Alligator mississippiensis: one gene and its partners. The protein of the gene in region 3 binds, or shares a complex with, the protein of the main gene of each other region. Links are inferred from orthologs where the notes say so. Each region holds a gene or a part of one and is shown on either strand. Other genes may lie near its edges.

Region 1 (7,108 bases), on a different chromosome or scaffold from region 3:
ACAGCCTGCCAGGCCATTCTATCCAGCTCACGGGGCCCGTAAAAAACATAAAAAGTTAATATTTATCTGCCCCTGGCTGCCTGTCATATGGCCCTGGATGTCTTGCCAAAACTCAGTAAGCGGCCCTTTGCCCGAAATAATTGCCCACCTCTGGTCTAACAGTTAAGGGACTGGAGTTGAACTATGTGCCACAATTTCTGCCCCTGTCAAGTGGAAATAACTCTTTCCTCCAAGGCCCAGCCCCGGGATACTTCAAGGATGTTTGTGATGCACTCAGACACTCTGCTGTTCAAGTTTGTAGATTGGGAAAGCAAATGTTTACATCAGGGGCATGTGAAACACCCAACTGTTTTCCAAAACTAAAAAGAAGGAACAAAACTTGGGCACACTGAGATCATTTCCAGTTGAAGTACAGACATCCAGGTCAGAATCAATCAAGTGATTAAAAAGACTGCATAAAGTAAACTCTCTCAGTAGTTTATTTTAGCTTTACTTCTACCTGGGAAATAAAAACCTAGGAGAGAAGCTGGTTTCACACTCATGCATTCCATCTTTCCACCTCAATAGCACCTCAAACAGGTTTTCCTACCTTCTTTAACCTTTTCCCAGCTAGTTCTTTCAAAAAGCTATTAACTCTGTATCCATTTTTAATGTTTCCTCTCTCTTCCTTACCCATCTCCCCCACATACCATGTCTCTCCTTTCTATCCCTAGCTCCTTTCATTCCTTCCTCTTCTACCCCTTCTTCTTGGTGGACTTTAATCCCTCTCTCCACCTTTAGTGCTAGTCTGGCCTTCAGAAGGAAGTTATCTATAGCCTGCCTATCCACAGAAGATAAAAATTAGGGAACTTCCAAGTCCCAGCAAGAAATCCTCCCTTTTCTTTTAGCTAGGGTGGTACAAGTCCTCTGTCTCTAAAGACAGGGTCTGCCCTTGACTTTCCTGAGGACTGTGACCAGATCCTGCATTCTTGTGGGACACCACCCAGGGGAACCTCATATCCTCTGACCACTCCCTCAATTAGTCCAAGTCACCCCTGCCCTCCCTCTCAAAGAGATTCTTGTGTCAAATGTCTCTCCAAAGTCCCACAGTCCATTTCTACTTCCAGGAAGTTCACCGCAAGAAGATGGATTGTTATAAAGCAGCAACAGACTTGTTCTTTGGAAACTGCTGCTAATGTGACAAAACTGCTCCAGCACCCCAATGATTTTCTCTGTGGGCCAAATATGCAGCTTTAACCAGTTAAAATAGAAAATTTCTGGAAGCGGAGTCTGAGGCAAACCCTATCTAAACCAGAGATGATATCCTTCCCCCACCAAGCCCTCAGTTCAAGGGAGCTGCTTTAAGCACTGCATAGTCTTATGCCAAGGTCACATCTGCATGCAGCCCAAAATTCTCCTATCAAACTTCAGGCTGCCCCAACCATGCTCTCAGGGCCACCAAGAAGCATTTGCTAGGAAGGCAGGGAACAGTGTTATCTGGCCAAATTTTTGTAATTAATTCTCCCCTACCCAAAGGGAGGTAGACAATCACAGCAGCCTGGGAATCCTACGGTGCAGATCAGCTGAAGCAGAGCCTACTGCTGCGTTTCCTGCTGGAACTGCCACTATAGATTTCATAAACGTTAGGGCTGGAAGGGACCTTGTAAGATCATCAGGTCCAGCCCCCTGCCCAAGGGGCAGGAAGTCAGCTAGGATCAAAAGATCCCAGAAAGATAAACATCCAAACGTTTCACGAAAGTGTTCAGAGTAGGTGCTTGCATCACTTCTGAGAAGAGCGTGTTCCAGACCTTGGGGGCTTGGACAGTAAAGAAGTTTTGCCTTACGTTCAGCCTAAAACGGCCTTGCAGGAGTTTGTGACCGTTGGACCTTGTCATCCCTTGGGGCGCTCTGGTGAACAGGCGTTCCCCCAGTTCCTGGTGCACACCCCTGATGTACTTACAGGCGGCCACCAAGTCACCCCTGAGCCTGCGCTTCTCCACGCTGAAGTCCCATGGCTTGCAGCCTCTCTTCACAAGGCCTGTTCTCTTGCCGTCTGATCATGCACATGACTCTCCTCTGGACTCTTTCAAGCTTCTCCATGTCCTTCCTAAATTGTGGAGCCCAGAACTGGATGCAGTACTCCAGCTGCAGCCTCACCAAGGCCGAATACAGCAGGAGAAACATCCTGGCTCTTGCTTGAGATGCGTCAGTAGACGCAAGCCAGGGTTTTGTTCGCTTTGCCAACTGCAGTATCACACTGGTGGCTCATATTCATCTTGTGGTCAATCATGACCCCCAAGTCTTTCGGTCACAGTGCTAGCGAGTGTAGCACTGCTGAGCCTATAAGTGTGATGTGGTCCATCCCCTCCCCGCTGAGGTGGAGCACCCTGCATGTCTATCATGGCCGCTCTCCAAGTGCTTCTCTGGCTACAACAGGCCACTGCAGACAGGCTAATCACCCACCTCACAAGTGAAGACTGCTTATGACGCACCGGTGCCCGAGCCACACGCAGTTCCCCCTGGATGGGAAGGGTAATAGGAAGCAGAGGCAGACTTACTTTTTCATGATCTGAATTTCATGGCACCACCGGTCCTTGTTTTTCACACTGAGCTCCAGACGGCAGGATTTAATCGCCACCTTCTCACCGGACTCCTGCAACACAAGAGCTGGGGGTGACTGGGCAGGCCACCGGGAGGGAAGGGGGTCACCGCTGGGGTCTGTTTCATTTCACCCCTTTCTCTGTAGCCTTTTTCAGGACAGTGGCACAAAAGCCAAACTAATTAGCAAACCAGCTGCATGCAGCCACAACGAGCACCCCTGGGTCCAGCACCCACCCACTGGACCGCGGGGGCCCCGGGATCCGCGCCCGGGCAGTGTTTGCGCAGGAGGGGGGGCAGGGGCGGTCTCCATGGCAACAGCCCCGGGCCCCGCCCCCGGCCACACCTGGTGCTGGTAGAGGCAGACGTTGCCGAAGCCGCCCGTGCCCAGCCGCTCCCGCATGTCCCAGGGGCCGCAGCCGCCGCTCGGCTGCCCGCGCAGCGCCGCGCCCACGCCCACGGCGCCCCGCTCCATGGCGCCCCCCTGAGCCGCCGCCCGACCCCGGCCACGACCCCGACTCCGGCCAGCCGGAAGTCAGCGGCTCTCGCGAGATCTCCTCCGCGAGAGCCGCCCCGGCCCTGAGCCGAGCCCCGCCCTGCGCTTGTACGTCACAGAACCGCGTCCTCCCCCAGCGGCCCAGGGGGCGGGGCTGGCGCCGGGCGGCCTCCAGCTATCCCACCATGCACTGCGTTCAGCACAGGCAGCTGGTGGGGGGCCTCACCCAAAGGCCTTGGGGTGGGAGCTGATGCAGGCCCGGGAGCCCTCCTGCCCCAAGCACCTGGTGGTGGGTCACCTCACATCCTGCCAGCAACCAGCACTGGGGGCCAGGGGAGCAGCATCATGCCCTGACTTGGCCCCTCCCCACGCTGCCAGGGCCCCTGCGCCCTGGCTTGGTTTAAGGCACAATGGAAACCAACCACAAACTTACCACCATTTTTGTGCCAAATTTGGATCTGTGGCTGAAGGACTAGACTCTTAAACCATCCCCGAGTCCCATCAGTGAGCCACGGCTGAACGGAGAGATTGTTCCTGCCACCTTAAACAGAGGGATCCTCGAACAGAGGGATCGTTCCTGCCACCGACATACTGCCCTGCATGACAATTAACCAGACATTTTACTTGCTCGCCTCCCAAGGACAATATCAGAGCCCCCCCATTGCAACCAATCTCACGTGTCCCATGCAAGCAGCCTGCCTCACTGCTGTGGCCCCTCCAGGCTGACAAGACCAAGCACAGCAACAACTCGGTCCCAGAGGAGGGAACTGATCTCGCAGTCCGGGGTCAGATCGACGTTCAACATGCACGCAGCTCCAGCCAGCAAGATAATAGCGTGCATCAGAGGACCACAAGGGAAATGGCAACTCGATTATGTGACCGTGGGTGGACCCGGTGCTGGTCTCAGTGCAGAGATCCCAAGCAGCAGGTCACAAAGACGGAAGGAAAAACAAACGGTTGGGTGAATAAAGTCTCGTGTCGCCACTACGAGGCACCATCACACATCTTTGTTGTCAGCAACACAGCAAACCTGAGGGGCACCACAGCAGTTCACACTGAGGACTTGGCCATGACCAGTATCGAACAGACACAGCCCTCCCAGGCCAGCACATCCACCCTGGTAAGTCCCAGCCCTTTCTACTGCCGCTGGTGCTCCCCCAGGAAGTTGATATGGGCTCAGACAACTACAACCAGGAGGTTCCTGCATCCTACTATATTCAGCATCCTAGCCACCTATCCCCCTCAAGCAGTGATTCTCAACCAGGGTGCCAGGGCACCCTGAGGTGCCTTGAGATCCTTTCAAGGATGCTGTGCAATGTTAGCACTGTTAGGTGTGCAGATGTGATTCATGAGATAACTCCAGAGGTTTCAAGTAGGAATCCATAACATTAAAAGTATTCTGACTCGTTGTGGTCTTTCTGAGTTCTTTGGAATAGAAAAAAACACCAAACACTCTATTTTTCCGTTGTCAGAAACAAATGAAAACTTAGAACTGGCATTTTCTGATGTGCGTCTCAAGTCTATTAAGTGATGCTTCAAGACTAAAAAGGTTGAGAACCACTGCACTAGACAGACCAGGTACTCCAGAAGAACCAGCTCTCTACCTCCCTGTGCTAGTGTGAGGGGAGGGGAGTGGAGGCTGGGAGGGTAAAGTGGGGCTGGGGCAACAAACCCAACTAACCCCCCCAGCCCAGCACAGGGAATGCAGGGGGCTAGCAGGTTAAGCTGCAGACCAAATCCAGCTGCCTTGAGTGGAAATGGTCCCCCTGCCAACACTTCCCAACTCCAGCCTCATTCCCAACCCCCTTACAGTGCTAGCCCAGCAGCACTCAGCCAATGATTTGCCCCCAACCCCCTTGCCACCCAAGACAGACCGGGCTTATAAATGCCCCTCCAGCATCCCCCACCCCTGCATGAGCTGAAAAAGACTACATGAACCATTGCATTCAGATTACACTGTTTACTGGGGTCTGGTACTTCATTACAAACATATCAAGTGTTTTTGACAACAGACAAGAACTGAGGGATGTGCAGAATGGCAGGGTCTCTTGGTCCTTGGGTTCTGCACCACAGAGCTGCTCCCAGCACCATGCCCTGTGATGAGCTGAAGGGGGGCAGAATGGGGAGAGGGGGAGCATGAGTCAGAGCAGCAGCACAAATGTGAAGGACATTGAAGCACAATCCCTCCTGCAATGATTTTACCATCCCCATCCAGTTACCATTCTCCACCCACCCACTTAAAATTTCACCACCCACCACTTTGAACAACCAGTGGAGAGGCCCCATCTACAGTACACTTAAGTCATGACTTAGCTGATTAATCATGTCTTAAGTGGTCACCCGGCCACATGTTCAGTTACTGGCATGATTAAAAAAGAAAAGAAAAAAGCTAGGAAGTTATTCTACAAAATTTGTAGCAACTTTGCAGCTGCACCTATCATGCCATTACTTAAATGTGTAGCCAGGGGGCCCTGTGACTAAGAGCCCCGTCAGCTGAGCAAAGCTCCTAGCTGCAGGAAGCCATGTGTACCCCCATGGCTCGGAGCCCTGCCAGCTGAGGGGGCTCCTGGCTGCAAGCTTGCTTCTTGCCCATGCAGGGGGAGCCTGGGATTGGGTTCCCCCTGCACCAGCAATAAGGCATGATGGGATCTTATCCATACCACAGTCACACCTCCTGCAAATGCACATGTAGCACAGCTGGACAGGTGATTGTGCATTAGATCCCACTGCACCCTTACCTGAACCAGAAGAGCAGCCCAGAAGGACCAGGCGTTGTGCATGCTGGCCATAGTCTGCCTGTTCTCTCAGGCCCCCTGCAGCAGAAGGGCAGCAGTATACTCAGCCACCTTGTGAGCCACTTTAGAAACAAGATACGTTTCAGTGGTGCGATTTCTTTGCTGAGAGACATGCTGCAGTACACCCTGAGCGACACCAACTGCATCATATGTTTCCACACTCAGGGCAGTGCAGTCTGGGTCACTGCAGATGTCAGGTCTGCTTAGGCCACGGCAGCAATCTTGCCACCCCCCACCAGCTCCCTCCTGATAATGTCCTTTCCTGGACCATGTGCTCACCCATGACAACTGCTCCAAAATTTATCTGACTGTGGCAGGACCAGCCTTGCCCCAGCCCCACAGACAGGTCCTACGCTATTTGTGTACCATCAACACCACTCCAGGGCCTCAGCTGCATCCAGCACTGCTTGAAGCTTGCCTAGGAAACCAACCAACCAGACCACAGAGAGAAATAGAGTTTATTCCTTTGATTAAAAATCTCAGCAAAAAGTACAGCCTGCTCCAGGGCTCTGGTCCTCCTGCTGTCAAATAGACTAAGAAGGGAAATCCTTTGCCCCATTATGCCTTGCAGTTGGACTGTTCACTTTTAACCTCAGTTCTGCACAGGAGTTGAGTCAGACCAGAGCGAAACTCAGCAACAAGTACAGTGTTAAAATGAATGATGGTGATGAACAGGAACAGGACAGCAGTGCTCTTGGCAAGACAGTCCTACCACTGAGTGCTTCCCACTGGAAAAGCAAAGTTACTGCAGCAAAGAAAAGTCAAAAGGTTCAAAGTCCTCTCGAAAGGCTTTGGACAATGCCTCCTCCTCTTCTCTGGTGGACTTGCACTGCCTCCAGTCTGCCCGATCTGGAATATTCAGGATAGCTTCACTAGCCAGGACTTCCCTGTAACCAAAACAATCAGCTGCAGAACTGTTGCAATCTTTGAAGTGCAAGCACATTGCTAGAAATAATAAGACTACAAAATCAAGTACTGTGGGGGCTATCTAAAGACTCATGTTGAATTTAATAGAAAAACTGCCATTTAATTCACGGGGAACGCATCTGAATTGCATTTGAAAGGAAGCAATTCTTATTATTAATTTAGAAATAGGTCTATATAGAGGCATTACCTGCTTCTTTGCTAAAAAGGACAATTTACTGGTAAAAAGTAAATGCAACTAAGACAATACTTTGTACAAACATGATTCTTAATCTCCACACTGAACTTTTCCAGTTCAAACATTTTAAAACGATTT
Region 2 (7,899 bases), on a different chromosome or scaffold from region 3:
CTTCGATAAGGTATCTCCCCCCATACTGGTGAACAAATTAAGAGGCTGTGACTTGGATGATTACACAGTCCGGTGGGTGGCAAACTGGCTAGAGGGTTGTACCCAGAGAGCAGCGGTGGACGGGTCGGTATCGACCTGGAAGGACGTGGGCAGTGGGGTCCCACAGGGCTCGGTCCTTGGACCGATACTCTTCAATGTCTTCATCAGCAACTTGGACAAGGGAGTGAAGTGTACTCTGTCCAAGTCTGCGGATGTCACAAAACTGTGGGGAGAAGCGGACACACCGGAGGGCAGGGAACAACTACAAGCAGACCTGGACAGGTTGGACAAATGGGCAGAAAACAACAAAATGCAATTTAACAAGGAGAAATGCAAAATGCTGCACCTAGAAAGGAAAAATGTCCAGCACACCTACTGCCTAGGAAATGACCTGCTCGGTAGCACGGAAGAAGCAGAAAGGGATCTCAGAGTCCTAGCGGACTCCAAGATGAACGTGAGTCGTCAGTGTGACGAAGTCATCAGCAAAGCTAACTGCACTTTATCGTGCATCAGCAGATGCATGACAAACAGAACCAAGGAGGTGATACTTCCCCTCTATCGGGCACTGGTTAGACCACAGTCGGAGTACCGCGTCCAGGTTTGGGCGCCGCGCTTCGAGAGGGATGTGGATCACCTGGAGAGGGTCCAGAGAAGGGCCACTCATATGGTTAAGGGCTTGCAGGACAAGCCCTATGAAGAGAGACTGGGACACCTGGACCTCTTCAGGCTCCACAAGACAAGGTTGAGAGGCGACCTGTGGCTGCCCATCCATTCATCCTGGGGGCACAGAAGGGCATCAGTGAGGCTCTGCTCACCAAGATGCCCCTGGGGGGGTTACAAGAAATAATGGCCACAAGCTAGCAGAGAGCAGATTTAGACTGGACATTAGGAGGAACTTCTTCACAGTTCGAGTGGCCAAAATCTGGAACAGGCTCCCAAGGGAGGTGGTGCTCTCCCCTACCCTGGGGGTCTTCAAGAGGAGGTTAGATAGGCATCTGCCTGGGGTCATCTGAACCCAGCACTCTTTCCTGCCTATGCCAGGGGTCGGAGTCGATGATCTATTGAGGTCCCTTCCGACCCTAACATCTATGAATGGGAACATCCAGGGTCACAGCTCTACTTCCCTCAGGTGGAGAGGGCTAGCAGGACAGAAATGCCTGCCTTCCCACACAGGGATTGTCACAGGCCACGTGGCCCCTTACCAATGTCTGAGAGCAGCGTCAGGATGGCTTCCTCCCGCAGGCCGCAGCAGTTCTCCAGCTGGTTCAGGTACTGGAGGGAGCAAGGCAACATATCACAAATCTGCCGCACCCAGCCTACACATGCTACTTGCAAGCAGGAGCTTCTGTAGGGTCGGGACCTTTGCAGAATGATCAACTCAGACGTGCTCCAGACCTACCCTTTCCCTTCTCTGCCAGCTCCTCCAGCCAGCAACCCCTCCAGGGCCCATCCCCATATCTGAACACACTTGGCCCAACCAGCTCAGGACAAGGTCCCCTAATCATGGCCCTATCCTCTGAGCAAAATCTGTGCTGGGGCTGCTCACAAAGATTAAAAAAAAAAATTAAAAAAAAGATTGATCCAGCCCTATGTGTTTTTCCGCCCTGTGACCGAGAGGGGTTTATCAGTTCCCCACAGGACCCCACCCACTGGCACAACCTGCTCCATGACGTTCTAGGCCCTGCTCACATCCTGTTGTCTGTCTCTTGCACACGCCCGTGTGGGCACCCCGCAGGCTGACCCACACTGCCTACCCAGTAGAAATGGGAAGTGTTTACAGACCAAGGAAGGGGATGAGAACTCGTGCAGGACCAAGCCTGCCAAGGGCAGGGGAGGTGGCAGCAGGCACAGTCCTGGTGAGTGCAGGAAGACATGATGGCAACAGTGCATGAAAACTCAAGGGAAGCCTTTCATTTCTGCAGTGCTCGATGGCTATCCCGCCCATCCAGCCAGGGGCCCCACCTTGCGGAGGTCTCCCCCCTGGCAGTACTCCATGGCCAGAGGCGGAAGGTCATTCAGTGCCAGATTTTGCATCCCCTTGGGGACCTCACGGGCAGCAACCACGTTGGCGTGATTCAGCCTAGGGGAGGACAAGAGGGTAGAAGTGTGTGATGGCAGGAACCGACTCACCACAGGTTGCTCCTAGACAGGGTGCACGTGCAAACGCCTGAGCAATAGCAGCTGCACAGCGGAGGCAGGTGCACCCTGGGACAAGGACCCTGACCTTTTCATGATCTGTATCTCCAGGCACCACCGCTCCCGGTTGCGCGGGCTCAGCTCCTGGCGGCATTGCTTGATGGCGATCTGCTCCCCCGTGTCCTGGGCGGCACAAAGCAAACGCGCGCAACAACAACGGGTGAGCGCCACGGCCGTGCCAGGGCCAGCCGCCGAGCCCGCCCGGGCCATTCGAGCGACACGGCTCGGCAAGCGGCGCTCGCACGGGCCCGGCGCCGCGCGGCGAAGGTTACCAACTCTCCAATCTATCGTGGGAGGTTTCCAGCGTGCCCGCGACACGACGCTTGCGCGCATCGGTTACAGGTCGCGGCGCGCCGACTTTATGCCAGGAAGGCAATCGCACGCAGCCGCTACTTTTTAGGACGCTCCTGGACTACCACGCGAATCGGACCCCGTGTTTAATGAACGCGCTGACATTTGTGATGCTGGGAGCCCCCGGGGGGGATACCCAGGTCCTGAGGGTTGGCGCACCTTGTTCTGCCAGCGGATGACGTTGCCGAAGCCGCCCGTGCCCAGCCGCTCCTTCATCTCCCACGAGCCGCACGTCTGCGTCTGCAGCGATGGCGGCCGGCTCATGCTGCCGCTGCCGGGACAGGGCGGCCCAGCCAGGCCGGCTCAGCGGGGGCCGCACTCGCGCCGCGGACACGCGTGGGCGGGACGGGCAGGAGGGGGGGGGGGGCCGCGGTCTGCGGGGTCGGATTCGCTTCGCGCGCCGCTTCCGCACTGTGCCTGGCTCTGACGTCACGGCGGGGCCCGGCCACGCAGGCGCCGTAGCGCGGGGAAGGAAGGCGCGCTCGGCTCTCGAGCGCCCCCTGCGGGCCGGAGGTCGCGCTGCGCCCACGTGTCCTGCAGGGAGCGGCGCTGGTCCGGGGGAAGCAGCTGCGGGCAGGGCAGGGCAGGGGCGGTGGGTTGACGACAGCGCAGGCCCTGCTGCACCCAGGGACCCCGGAGCCACACAGCCCACTGGGTGGGGTGCCATGCAGGGTGGGGTGCCAAGGCAGGATGCGGTGGCATGCAGGATGCAGCGTGGCACAGGGTGTGGTGCCAGCTCGCCCCAGGAGCCCGCTGGCCCCAGGCAGCTAGTGACATGAGCTGCCTGCGGCACAGCAGGAGCCGGACAGGGCAGGCCACGGGCAGCGTTATGCTCCTGCAGGCCTGCCCTGCCTGGGCATCCTTCCAACCCCCAGGGCTACAGCACAGGGCCTGGGTCTCGCTGGCGCTCAGAGGGCGGCAGGTCCTGCCCGGCAGCCACCCAGCACCTGCTCCTGGACTTCGTCTACCCCCGCTTCCCCCTCCCGCCACCCATCCCTGCCACTTCTCACTGAACCTAGCCCCGGAGACTGGTTACCTGGGGGCCATCCGGGGCCTCATTCCACAGGGGTGACCTAGGAGGCCTGGGAGCCGCAGCCCTGAGTCACAGTTTCTTTTCCTCCAGCTAGCTCCGTCACTTGTTTGTCTTGTTCACACCCTGCAGCAAGAAAAAGGGGAAGTGGAGAGTGGAGGCACTTAGAGCTTCTCAAATGAGCTTTCACAGGGACAAAGAGCCCACCTCACTTGGGCCACCAGCGGAGGCTAAGCTCCCGCTCCTGTGAAGGCCAGTGCCCCTCCACTGTCTTCTGGCCAGGTGAGCTCCACCTGAAGCCAGGCAGATAGCTAGGGCCAGGGTCTGCCACACCTGCATAGCACCTCAGTCATGCCAGCTGAGGAATTCCCCCTTGATGAGCAAATCGGATGTGATGTGTCCATTCATTTGAGGACCCAGAGGAATGCAAAAGGGGGTGGCTGATTATGAAATTAGGAAAGGTTCGGGTATAGTAATGGGTAGCATAGGCAATGCTGACTTACATCACTGGGTTACTGGAAGGATTAGCTATTGTCAAACGTTTCCAAAAGAAGTTTCTACTACTACCAACTACTGGTCTGGAGGGGGGTCCAGCACAGATGGCACCAGCTGCCAATTACTGGGGTCATATTGGTAACATGTCCAGGCATGACTGCCAAGAAAGCAGCATCTCTGCGGTGGTAGGATCCGAACCTCGGAGCAGAGGGTAGCCTCAAGTTCAAGGAGGCTGGTCAACAAGGGGAAGTGGCTGCTGTACTCGCATGGGAGCTCAGGGACTAATGACATCCACAGATGCCGGCGCCCACCAGCTGAGCATCTTCAGTGCTCTGGGACAAAGGATGCTCACAAGCGCTCCAAGTACACCAGTACACCAAGCAGGGCAGGCCCCTCTTGACCCATTTCTTCTATGGTCAGAGATTATACACAGGAGATGACCTGCCATAGGATGTGAAATCAAGGGCTAAGAAGGGTCAGGTGGAAAAGGAATGTCAGAGAGGACTCAGGGTTCACTTTGAGAAAGGAAAGAGCCACATTTCATGTTGGACAGAGAGGGATACTGCTGGAAGGTGGTAGCAAGAAGAGGCCTGAAGCACTTCTGTGAGAAGTTGCTTCTTTTCTCAGAGGAGATAGGGCCAGCGAGGGGTTTGAGAGGAGGGTGGAGAGCAAGTGGTGGCTGGCGCAAACTGCAGAGTGCATGGAAATTATACTCCTCAGTCTGCCCAAGGGAAAGGAAATCAGGAGGGAGGGAGATCCAGGAGGCTTATAGCTAGCAGCCTATAAAGAGGCAGGGCCCCTGCTTACAGCCAGTGAAGAAAACAGGACCTTTGCTCAGTGGAGGAGTCCAGTTTCTCCCCGTCACAGGAAAGAGTGAATCCAGCTAGCATCACTGCTTTTCCAGGTGCCAACAAGTGCCAGGCACCTAGTTGGCAGCACGTAGGAGGAACTGTAACTGCAGCTGGGCAAGGTATGGGAGAAAAGAGTACTTTCCTGGGGGTGAGAGTCACAGAGGATCGTTTTTGGAGGGAGGGTCCCATCTATGTGCTAAGCGAACATGTCATGTACAGTGGCACTTCCTCTGACGTCCATTGGACTGTAAACTCCAGAAGGAGCACAATGTTTGCTTATACTTGTTAACAAACAGTGATCTGGCATGATCTCCATCCAAAGCATCTTTAAATTGCAACCTGATACCATCCTCCCCGCCCCAAAACACAAAGGGCTCCACTGTAACAGAGACAGCCTCCAGGCCTGGCACAGGAGATGTGGGGCACCTGTGCATACTGACTGGGTGCCCAGGACCCCATGGGATCATTACTTCTCCTTTGCTCCAGAGTCAAACTGCCAGTTCCCACAGCAAGAGCAATCTGGCTCTCTGCACGGACGCATGACACGAGGGGTCTCTTCACGCACATGGAGCTGGGCAGCAGGCCCCGCTGGCCGAGGAGATGCATTCCACACGGAGCAACATACGGGAAACGTGCAAATATGCGGAGACACAGGTGCAGAGGGAGGCATAGAGGGAGTTTATCAGAAAGGAGATATGTAGGCAAGCTAAACAAGCAAAAAAACAAAGATTACTGCTGCAGAGAAACACTGGAGCCAAACCTTCCCTGAGATGCAGGCACAAAACCTGCATCTGCTTTCTGCCAGGGCTCCTCGCAGGACATGGCTTGTCAGAACACGTAACACAATACCAACCACAGGCACTGTCTTCCTACCCAGAGCAGACCCTCAGCTAGGCCCCTAGCGCCGCACGGGTACACCCTGTGCTCAGCTTGGGATGCAATGTTTGGAATACGCCCTCACCATTTTCCTTGCAGCCTTCAGGAAAATGCCAAGCAACCCAGGCCAGCTCCACTCTCTTGAAGCATGAAAAGGTCAGCTCTAAATGGGCAGCGACTGCTCGGAAACGAGCTGCCCAAAACCGCGACAACCGTAACTCATTGCCAGCTGGTCCTCACAGGTCATAGTGAACCTCAAAAGCCGGTCTCTGTGTCTCACAATGGAGGTCACTGGCTGGTCCCTGCCCATCACTGTAGGGTACTGCTAAGACAAAGAGGTTCACTGAAGCTGCTTTTGCCCTACCCCATGCAAGGCAGCAATGGCACTTCCGTTTCTGTGATGTTGTAATCCTGCCCTTGGCTCTGTGGGGCAGCTCTGCTGTTCAGGGGCTGCCTCAGTTATTTCTACTTCAAAATCCTGCTTTGTCTAATTATTAAATGTACTTTCTCACAAGGGACTGAACAGCTGGGCTTGCCTAGACTAGTCTCTCCATGGTGGCTGCTGTCAACATGCCAGAGTTCCCCTGTGACCAGTACTGCAGGGATGTGGGTAAATGACAGAGTTGGTCACACATTTACAGTGAGGCTCCGAACCTCTTGGATAGGGGGGGGGACAGAAATTTAATGAGTAAGTAATTACAAAGAAGGAAAAGAGGAATTAGCCAAAGCACCAGACCCAGACAATGTGCATTTATGCCACGGATGCCCTTCCTCTCATCCAGTCATTGTCTTGTTCCCATGGTGGTTCAGAAAAGCTCCCTGTGCTCGACTCCCCACGCTCAGAGACTCCCTGTTCCCTCAGCCCCAGGGAACGGCCTGTGCTGGGCAGCAGGTAGCTAAAGGGCAAGACAGAGTACAATAAATAGCTGATGAGCTGCATCACCGAAAGAAGGATTCAGCTAAGTGTGCAGTGAAAACCCCCACAAATGTGACACAACGGGCATGGAGAGAAACCAGCTGCTGCCTGCCCAGCCCCCAGCTGCAGTCCAGCAAAGGATTCAGCTCCTGGTCGGCTGGGATTCCCCTGCGTGGCCCTCCCCAGATTCTGGATTAACCGTTGGAAGTTAATTGCTCTTGTTTCTAAAATCCAGATCCCAACCAAACAAGTCAGAACGTGTCTGTGTACAAAGACAAAACTGCTCCCTGCATCTGTGTCCTGTAGACAGAGAAGATTAAACATTCCACATCGCTTCAGGGAACCAACTGCTCCAGGGGTATTCGGGCCAGGCAAGAGCTCAGCTGGGGCAGGAACTGGCAAGCCAATGGGAAAGGAAAGCTGCTGCCCCCTGCCCCGCCCCAGCACATCACAGAACAATTGTGTGAAGCTCCCACTAATCCCAAGTCAGAGATCATGGAGCGGGGCAATAGAGGGAGGGAAAACAAAGGGACAGGAATTCAGAGCCAGCACAGCCTAAATGGAGTATCCAGGAAGCGTCCCAGGCTGCAGCCTGGCAACACTGTAATGCTGTTCCCAGGGGAGAGGGATGTGTTAATGATTCAAAGCCTCCCCGCTACCCCGAGAACTATTTGCTGAGCAGTGCAAGCTTGACCAGGCTGAGGTCTGCTAGAGAGACTGCAAAGAGGACTTCCAACAGCACACAGGCAACATTAAACTTTGCGTTTCGGTATTTTGGGGCGTGGAATGGCATGGCTCATTGCTTCATCAGCTACCAAGGCAGTATCTTTTATTGGACCAACAACAGGCAGTTAAAGATATGACTTCCCCTGACATTTCCAGGCTCTCACATCCTGGCTGCCCCAGCCCTAACTCCATATGAGAACAGCATTTATGGCTGCTCCTGTTACTCATTTACAGCACAACTGGCTTCCTCCTCTGGATCGGGGGAGCCAAGGCTGTCAGTAATTAATCATGGGAGCCAGGTAGCTCCAAGCAACAGCGCTCAACACAGGGTGAATCCTTTTTCAGGAATCTGAGGAATGCCTCTAATTAGCTGAGCTCATGGCAGGTGCCTCAGAGGATGGGCTTGACTCCACTGGGCA
Region 3 (6,972 bases):
GGGCTCCTTGAAGGTCAGGATGACACAGGCCACATTGTCCCGATTCCAGATGGGCCCGAAGATCCGGTTCCCAAACCTGCCCAGGAGGAAAGCACAGGGTGCGTGAAGGGCTATAGGAGGGGTTGGGGTCTCATGTCCCCACAGCCAAGGACTGGCCTCCCCTGTGCTGACCTGAGCACCATGAGATTCTGCACCATCTCCTTGCCCAGATAGTGGTCGATGCGGTAGATTTGGTCCTCACGGAAGAGCCCCGCGATGTGGTTTGACAGCTTGTCTGAGCTTGCTAGGTCTTTGCCGAATGGCTTCTCCACAATTACCCGTGTCCAACTCCTAGAGAAGGGGGTGGAGGGGGCATGTTACGTGTGGTTGCAGCCTGGGCTGGCCCTGAACCCTGCCACCCATCTCCCCGCCCTGTGATTTCCTGCCAGCCCCACCCCCGTAAGGCTCCTCACCCCTGGCTCATACACACCCTCCATTCATCCTCCAGCTCCATGGCCTCTGACCCCCACCTCTGCTCCCCAGCTCCTCACCCCTGCCCCACACAGATTTGCCTCCCCATCAGCCACCACCCCCTTACCCCTGGTCCATGCAGGCCTGCCCCATTCAGTCCCCAGCCCCTCACTACCAGCCCTGTGCCCTCTGACCCCTTGCCCCTACCCCACATAGACCCCTTCCATATCATTCCCCAGCCCACACTCCACACAGGCCTGCCTCCACCCCCTCATTCAGCCCCCAGCACCTCATGCCTGCCACACACAGGCCTGCTGCCCCCCGACCTCACCCCTGGCCCATGCAGGCCTCCTTGATGTGGTGGGTGACATCCTCATAGACACTGGGGGGCAGGGCCAGGTAGAAGAGCCGGTTGGCCTGGCTGCCCTTGGGCAAGCTGCGCAGGTGGGCGTCCAGGTGGGCAAAGGCTGCGGGCTCATCATAGCGCCCTGACACATAGCTGTTGCGGGCGAAGAAGGCCTCCAGCTTCTCCCGCTCCTCTGGCACCACCTGTCACATGGGGAGAAGCCCTGTCACTAGAGGAACCCAGACCCCAACACACGAGCCCAGCCCCAGGGCATGGGAGGACCCCAAAACAGCTTCCCACCTCCAACACCCTGCTGCAGGATCCACCCCCTCAAGACCCCAGCTCTGGGGCAGGAACAGAGGTAGGGCTTGCCCACCTTGAGGTAGGGCTCGCTCTGACGCTGGATGTCAGCCACGGTGAGCTGAGAGCGGGCAAAGCCAACAACGTAGGTGTCATCAGGCAGAAGTCCGTCACGGAATAGCCACCTGTGGTAGAAGGGGGCAGTGTATTAGGGCTGTGGGAATGCTGGGAGAGGGATGGGGGGCAGGGATCGGCACTTACCAGACTGTTGGGTAAATCTTTTTCTTGGCCAGGTCGCCCTTGGGGACAGAGAGAGAGAGAGAGAGAGAGAGAGAGAGAGAGAGAGAGAAAAGCGGGGGGGGGGGGGGGGGGTATCACAATGGGGCACAGCCCAGGATCCCTCCAACCCAGTCCCTTTCCCAAGGGCTGTACCCTGCTCCCCTCTCCTGACACAGCACTGTTGTTGGCCCCATTGTTGTGAGACTTTTGTGCCTCTATCTAGGTCAGGGCAGCTTACCCCCGCCCACAGTGGCCGGCCTTCTCACGCCACCCAATAGGACTGGGACTGATGCCAGGCTGTGCCTGCCCAGGGGCAGGGAAGGGGTAGATTTGGGATTGCTAAGCAATGGGAATCTGCTGAGTCAAGGGGGCTGGGCCCTGGACAAAAGGCAAGCATGGGGGGGTGGTGCTGGCAAGAAGCCAGGCATCCCCTGGCAGCCAGAGACTCACTGGGTGTTGGCACCTCCTTTATCTGCCCTTTATCTACCACAAACACTCAACAGCTCACCAAACCTGCCTGGGGTGGGGGAGGAGGGTCCCAAGGCCCAGCTCCAGGGCTGCCTCCATTTCCCCACTTCAAGGCAAGGGAGAACCTCCCCCTACCCAGGGCACTGGCTGGCTGACTGCCCAGCCCCCAGGCTTCTCTGGTCCCAATCCTGGCTCAGGAAGGAGGGCTCAGTATGTCCTAGACCCTCTCCCAATATCCCCTGCCCCTGAAGCTGTATGTAGCTTCCACGGAGAGGGGGTGTGTGTGTGTTGCTCCATGGCCCATGCTAATTGGGGCAGGCTGGGACACAAGGACTGCACTCACGGTGACTTAGCAGAGCCAGGCTCCCCTGACACCCCCAGCAATGGGTGCTCAGGGTACCCTCTGTCCGCTCCCCACCTCCACCCACCCAAAATCTCCTGCTGGGGCCACGCTTGGAGCAGCAGCATGAGGCACAGATGGCATAGGTGGGAGGCACCAGCTCCCCTAGGGTGGGAGGGTGACCTCAGGGCAATGGGTTTGAAAGCACCAGCCTGCGAGGCTGGTGGGAGGGAGAAGGGGTCAGGCCATCTCCACCACCCCAGGGCTGCATCATGCCTGGCTCCAGCCCTTGAAAGCCTGGGTCCCCTAGGGAGTGCCTGGTTATTTCTCTTATGTGGATATGTGGACCCAGGTGCTAGGAGCTACCCTCCCAGGGTCACAACCTCACTCCCAGCCCCCAGCGTGGCACAGCAGAGAGGGAGAACTGGTTTGCATCCTGGATACCTGAGTTCCTTGTGTGCACAAATAAGCAGTATAGAAGCAGAGGAGGTTGTCACTCCTCCCAACCCCCCTCAACAGGGAGAGGCTCTTGGGAGACAGTGGGAACCCCCCAGGGAAAGAAGAGCACTGTTCTGGCCATGGGGCAGAGGGTGCTGGGGGCAGGAGACCGGGCCAGAAGTTAGTAGTATTTGGAGGGGGCAGGCACACACATCTGGGGCTGGTGGTATGCAGGGGGAGGGCAGGGGCACGGCCCCATGGAGATGCCCCTGCCATGCTCCAGGGCCCTAAGCTCGGGGGCTGCTTCCAGGCCCTGACCCCAACACCATTCCTGGGCTTGGGGCCCTAGCAGTGGACAGGGGCAACAGGGGAACTACTCACAGAGGCACCAAGGATGACAAAGACATGTGCATCAGTGGGGTGGAAGTCCTGCCCCTGGCACAGCTCCTGGCGTAGCATCCCGCACACCTGTGAGCGGCTGAGCTCCTGTGGCTTGGCCATGGTGTGGTCTGATGGGCAAGAAATGGGGTGTGTAGCAGGGACAGCCTGGCCCATGCCCACGCGCCGGGGGTGGGGCACCTGGCCTGGCCCGGCCGGGCCAACCAGGTAGGTCCCACCTGTTGCAACAGGCCCGGGCTAGAGAAGAGAAGGGAAGGGCTGGGCCGCGCAGAGGGGAAAAGGGAAGTGGGGGTGGGGCAGAAGGGGAAAGGGGAAGCAGAAGGGGAAGGGGGGCAGGAAAGGAGGAAGTGGCGGGCGGGCTCGGCTGGGGCAGGAGGGAGCGGAGAAGCCCCAGCGCAACGGTACTCGGGCAGGGGCCATCACCACAGGGCCCACGTGTCCGGGATCCCCCGTCCCCCGGGAAAGGGACCAGGTGCCCAAGCCCCGCCCCGCCCCGCGGGAGGGGACCATGCACCCGCTGCTACCTGCCCGCTGCGGAGTCGGAGTCGTAGAAGAATCCAGACCGTGGCCGGTATCAGGGTCGCGGCGCCGCTCGCGGCTCCCCATTGCCAAGGCTGCGGCCACGCCTCGCAGCCAGCGCGGACCTGCCTCTCCGCTCCAGCCAATCAGCGACGAAGCCGATCGGTTGGCTCGCCCCGCGACTGAACCCCGCTCTCCCGGGCTAGGCCACCTAGCGTCCAGATTAGGGAAGGGAGGCGCGGGGAGAGCTGTCACAAAGCCTCTGACATCACAGCCTCACGCTCTGCACCACCATGACAGATACCGAGGCGGAAGTTCCCGACTATGGTGCATTGAACTCCCGACGCCCCTTCCCAACTTCCTTCCGGCTCCGGGTCGTCTTAGTAACACTTCCGGGGTAAACAAAACACCGAGACCGGAAGGAGGAAGTACGGCGCGGGGCCGGGAGTGGCGCAAGAGCGGCCAGGTATCGCGGCAGACCTCCCCCCACCTGGAGGTGGGGCCTGAGCGTCCGAGCCCCGCCACAGGGGTGGGACCCAGACGTCCGGGGCCCTGATTCCAGAACAAGCGAACTGAGGCGTCCCCCCCACGCCTCCGCCCAAAGGGGCCCGTCGGGGCTGGATGAGCGGGACCCGCCGGCGGCGCAGCGCGGACATGGTGGCGCCCGGGGGCGGTGATGGGGCCGGCCCCGCGGGTGATGCTGACGCCAACGCCCTGCCCCAGGCGCCGGACCCCGAGGCCTGGCAGCGCCTGGCCGCGGAGAACCAGGACCTCAAGGGTAAGGGGGTTGGGAGCTCGGCTGGGGATTCTCTGTCCACCCTCGCGACCTGGCTCTCCCGGCCGTCGGCTGTTTCCTGGGCTGGGCCCAGGCTCCGGCCTCGGCCTGGCCTCCCCGGTGCCCCTGAAGAGGCCTCAGCAGGCAAGGAGCACGCAGTCCACAGTGCCTTTGGGCAGCGGCAACCCCCCTCCCCAATCTGGGGCTGGTGAAAGTGTGGCGCTGGGGGCCGGTGAAGGGTGCTCCAGGGAGGGTGTGGCTGGGTCCTGACACCTCTGTGCTCCCCCCGTGGCTTGGCAGAGGCTCTGCGGCAGGGCAACCAAGCGCTACGGCTGCGATGCCAGGAGTTCCAGCAAGTTCAGGCCATGCGGCGTGAGGAGCGTGACTTCCTTCTGCTGCGCTTCCATGAGGCCCGCACCCTGGTGCAGCAGCTGCAGAATGAACAGCTGGAGGTGCGGCGACAGCTTGAGTGGTTGCGCAGCGCCTGCCAGGTACTGGGGGTCTGGGTCATGCTGTGGGTCTCCCTCACTCCCACTCACCCTCTTCCTTGGGGGCACGTGGAGAAGGTCTCCGAGACACTGTCTCATTCTCCCCCCCAGCCTCCATCCTTGCTATGCACCCTGGAGCCAGCTGGGCTGGATGAGGCTGACACCGTGACTCTCACCCATGAGACGCCTGTAGCGCTGATGGTGAGTGCTTCTGGGGCCAGAGGTTCTGCATGAGCCTAGATGTCTGGGTTGCTGTGCCCGTGTTTGTCTCCATCTTAACTTTGCTCCATATCCCCCTAAACAGCTGAGGGGGAAGGGATCTGGCTGGGGGGGCTTGGGAGGAGGGGAGGGGTTGGCTAGGCCTATTGTCTCCCAGCAGAAGATGCTGGAGGGAACACAGGCAGCCACTGCAGGGGTGCACACATGTCTGGCCTTCATCCCCTGCCTGCCACCCTGCTTCCCCTCTCCCCCAGGCTCTTGACCGTAGCAAGGAGAACCAGGCAGTGCTGAAGGAAGCAGACACTCTCCTGTTGGGAGAGAAGCCACTGCATAACCAGACCCAGCAGCAGAGGCTGCTGGTCAAGGTGAGGGTATTGGAGGTGCGGTCTGGAGGCATCTGGGCTGACTCCTGTCTCCGTGAGCTGAGATGGGGCCACTGAGGGAGGCAGCGTGGCCCCTTGTGGCAGGACATGACACCTGTTCCTGGGGGGGGAGGGCAGGCAGTTGAGCTGGTGATGGGGGTTGGGGCCAGCGCTGAACAGTTTCTGGTGTGTTCAGGAGAGCGGTACCCTAGCTGAGCAGCTCCTGAAGACTGAATCCTTGCAAGGGGCTGGGAACAACAGGTAAGAACCATGCATGTGTTGAGTGGGGGGCTGGAAGAAGCCTGCAGGTGCCCCACCATGCTCCTTCCACTCCCCAAAGATGAGGGATGATCCTGGATCACTCAGTTGCCTCCTTTTGGGAAAAGGCACAGGGGTTGGGGGCAGGATGGCTGTGTCTGTGAAGCAGGCAACCCCCTCTGGGGGCTCCTCACCCTTTTGTCTTGCCCCCCCCACCCCAAATCCAGGATCAGAGATGACCAGGCTGAGGAGCTGCACAGGAAGCTAGAGGAAACTGAAAACAAGTGTGTTGAGTGGAGCCCAGGGGGTGCCATGGAATCCCTGGGGGAAGGGGGGTAGGCAGTATGGGTGCACTGTACCAGTCACTATCACCCCCCCCCCCCCTTTCCCCAGGTGTGCTGAGCTGAAGCAGCAGCTGGCATCAGCCAGGGAGGACCTGAGCCAACTGAAAGCACAGGGGCAGGAGACAGAGCAGCAGTTCCAGGCCCTAAGAAAGCAGCTGGAGGTGAGTACTACCCTCTCACCCTTGGGGCAGGGGCATCCAAGCTGGGCCTCTGCAGGCTGGGGCTGATGCAGCCTCAGCTGCTCCCCACAGCAGGTGACAGAAGACAGGGTCTCGGTGAAGGCCCAGGTGACCTCACTGCTGGGTGAGCTGCAAGAGAGCCAGAGCCGGCTGGAGACCTGCATGCATGAGAAGCAGGCACTGGCAGAGCGGTGAGTGTGTCGAAGGGGGTGTAGGGTACCTCCAAGGCTGGGCACTGGCTCATACCCTGCCTCCTTGCAGGGCACGGACAGCTGTGGAACAGTGCCGACGGCTGGAGGGGGACGTGGAGGCTCTGCAGGAGCAGCATGGGGTGCAGCTGGACCAGCTGCGGCTACAGGCCCAGAATTTGGAGACAGCATTGCGTGTGGAGCGGCAGGGCGCCACGGAGGAGAAGTGAGGCGGGGGGTAGGTGGGAAGGATGCCAGGAGGACCTGCTGGGGGTGGCAGAGCTGGAGCTGGTGGAAAAGGTCCAACCTGCTGCCTTTAACACCCCCATGGTCTGCTTGTTGCAGACGGAAGCTGGCACAGCTGCAGGTGGCCTATCACCAGCTCTTCCAGGAATATGACAGCCACATCAAGAACAGCATAGAGGGCGAGAAGAGGGCCCAGGTGGGTCCCCAGCAGGGGCACGCGTGTTTGTGGGTCATCCTCCTGGCCTTGGGGCTGCATCACCAGGGTGGTAGGGGACAGCAGCATAGACCACATGTACCTATCTAGGCCTTAGAGTGGCAGTTGGATGAGCTGTCGCAGCAGCTGCAGCAGGCAGAAGAGGCACTGGTAGCCAAGC

What was found.
Region 1: IKBKG (region 3) and CHUK share a complex: the UniProt entries of both Homo sapiens proteins name them as parts of the I-kappa-B-kinase (IKK) core complex. The link is inferred for Alligator mississippiensis from reciprocal best matches to the Homo sapiens genes IKBKG and CHUK.
Region 2: the proteins of IKBKG (region 3) and IKBKB are in contact, whole or in part, in a crystal structure (PDB 3BRV), measured with the Homo sapiens proteins. The link is inferred for Alligator mississippiensis from reciprocal best matches to the Homo sapiens genes IKBKG and IKBKB. Residues at the interface, in NP_001093327.1 of Homo sapiens: Arg62, Ile65, Arg66, Asn69, Leu72, Arg73, Arg75, Cys76, Leu79, Phe82, Gln83, Gln86, Lys90, Leu93, Met94, Phe97, Ala100, Arg101, Val104; in NP_001547.1 of Homo sapiens: Ser705, Leu708, Glu711, Ala712, Leu715, Cys716, Leu718, Leu719, Ala722, Ile723, Asp725, Thr726, Glu729, Gln730, Gln732, Phe734, Leu737, Asp738, Trp739, Trp741.

What each region holds. Positions count from the first base shown.
Region 1 is NC_081829.1:10,061,989-10,069,096, forward strand, and holds the start of CHUK (inhibitor of nuclear factor kappa-B kinase subunit alpha), read right to left. Parts: upstream 3,070-7,108; 5' UTR 3,053-3,069; coding exon 2,924-3,052; intron 2,633-2,923; coding exon 2,538-2,632; intron 1-2,537. Other genes in the region: CWF19L1 (CWF19-like protein 1), read right to left, coding at 6,611-6,755.
Region 2 is NC_081830.1:17,229,689-17,237,587, forward strand, and holds the start of IKBKB (inhibitor of nuclear factor kappa-B kinase subunit beta), read right to left. Parts: upstream 3,011-7,899; 5' UTR 2,851-3,010; coding exon 2,746-2,850; intron 2,359-2,745; coding exon 2,264-2,358; intron 2,120-2,263; coding exon 2,002-2,119; intron 1,312-2,001; coding exon 1,242-1,311; intron 1-1,241.
Region 3 is NC_081831.1:29,096,305-29,103,276, forward strand, and holds the start of IKBKG (NF-kappa-B essential modulator), read left to right. Parts: upstream 1-3,941; 5' UTR 3,942-4,160; coding exon 4,161-4,317; intron 4,318-4,614; coding exon 4,615-4,805; intron 4,806-4,913; coding exon 4,914-5,003; intron 5,004-5,275; coding exon 5,276-5,386; intron 5,387-5,579; coding exon 5,580-5,644; intron 5,645-5,868; coding exon 5,869-5,925; intron 5,926-6,034; coding exon 6,035-6,146; intron 6,147-6,236; coding exon 6,237-6,355; intron 6,356-6,425; coding exon 6,426-6,578; intron 6,579-6,697; coding exon 6,698-6,794; intron 6,795-6,902; coding exon 6,903-6,972. Other genes in the region: G6PD (glucose-6-phosphate 1-dehydrogenase), read right to left, coding at 1-76, 172-330, 782-999, 1,173-1,281, 1,358-1,395, 3,003-3,130, 3,545-3,626. UniProt on the Homo sapiens protein: Regulatory subunit of the IKK core complex which phosphorylates inhibitors of NF-kappa-B thus leading to the dissociation of the inhibitor/NF-kappa-B complex and ultimately the degradation of the inhibitor.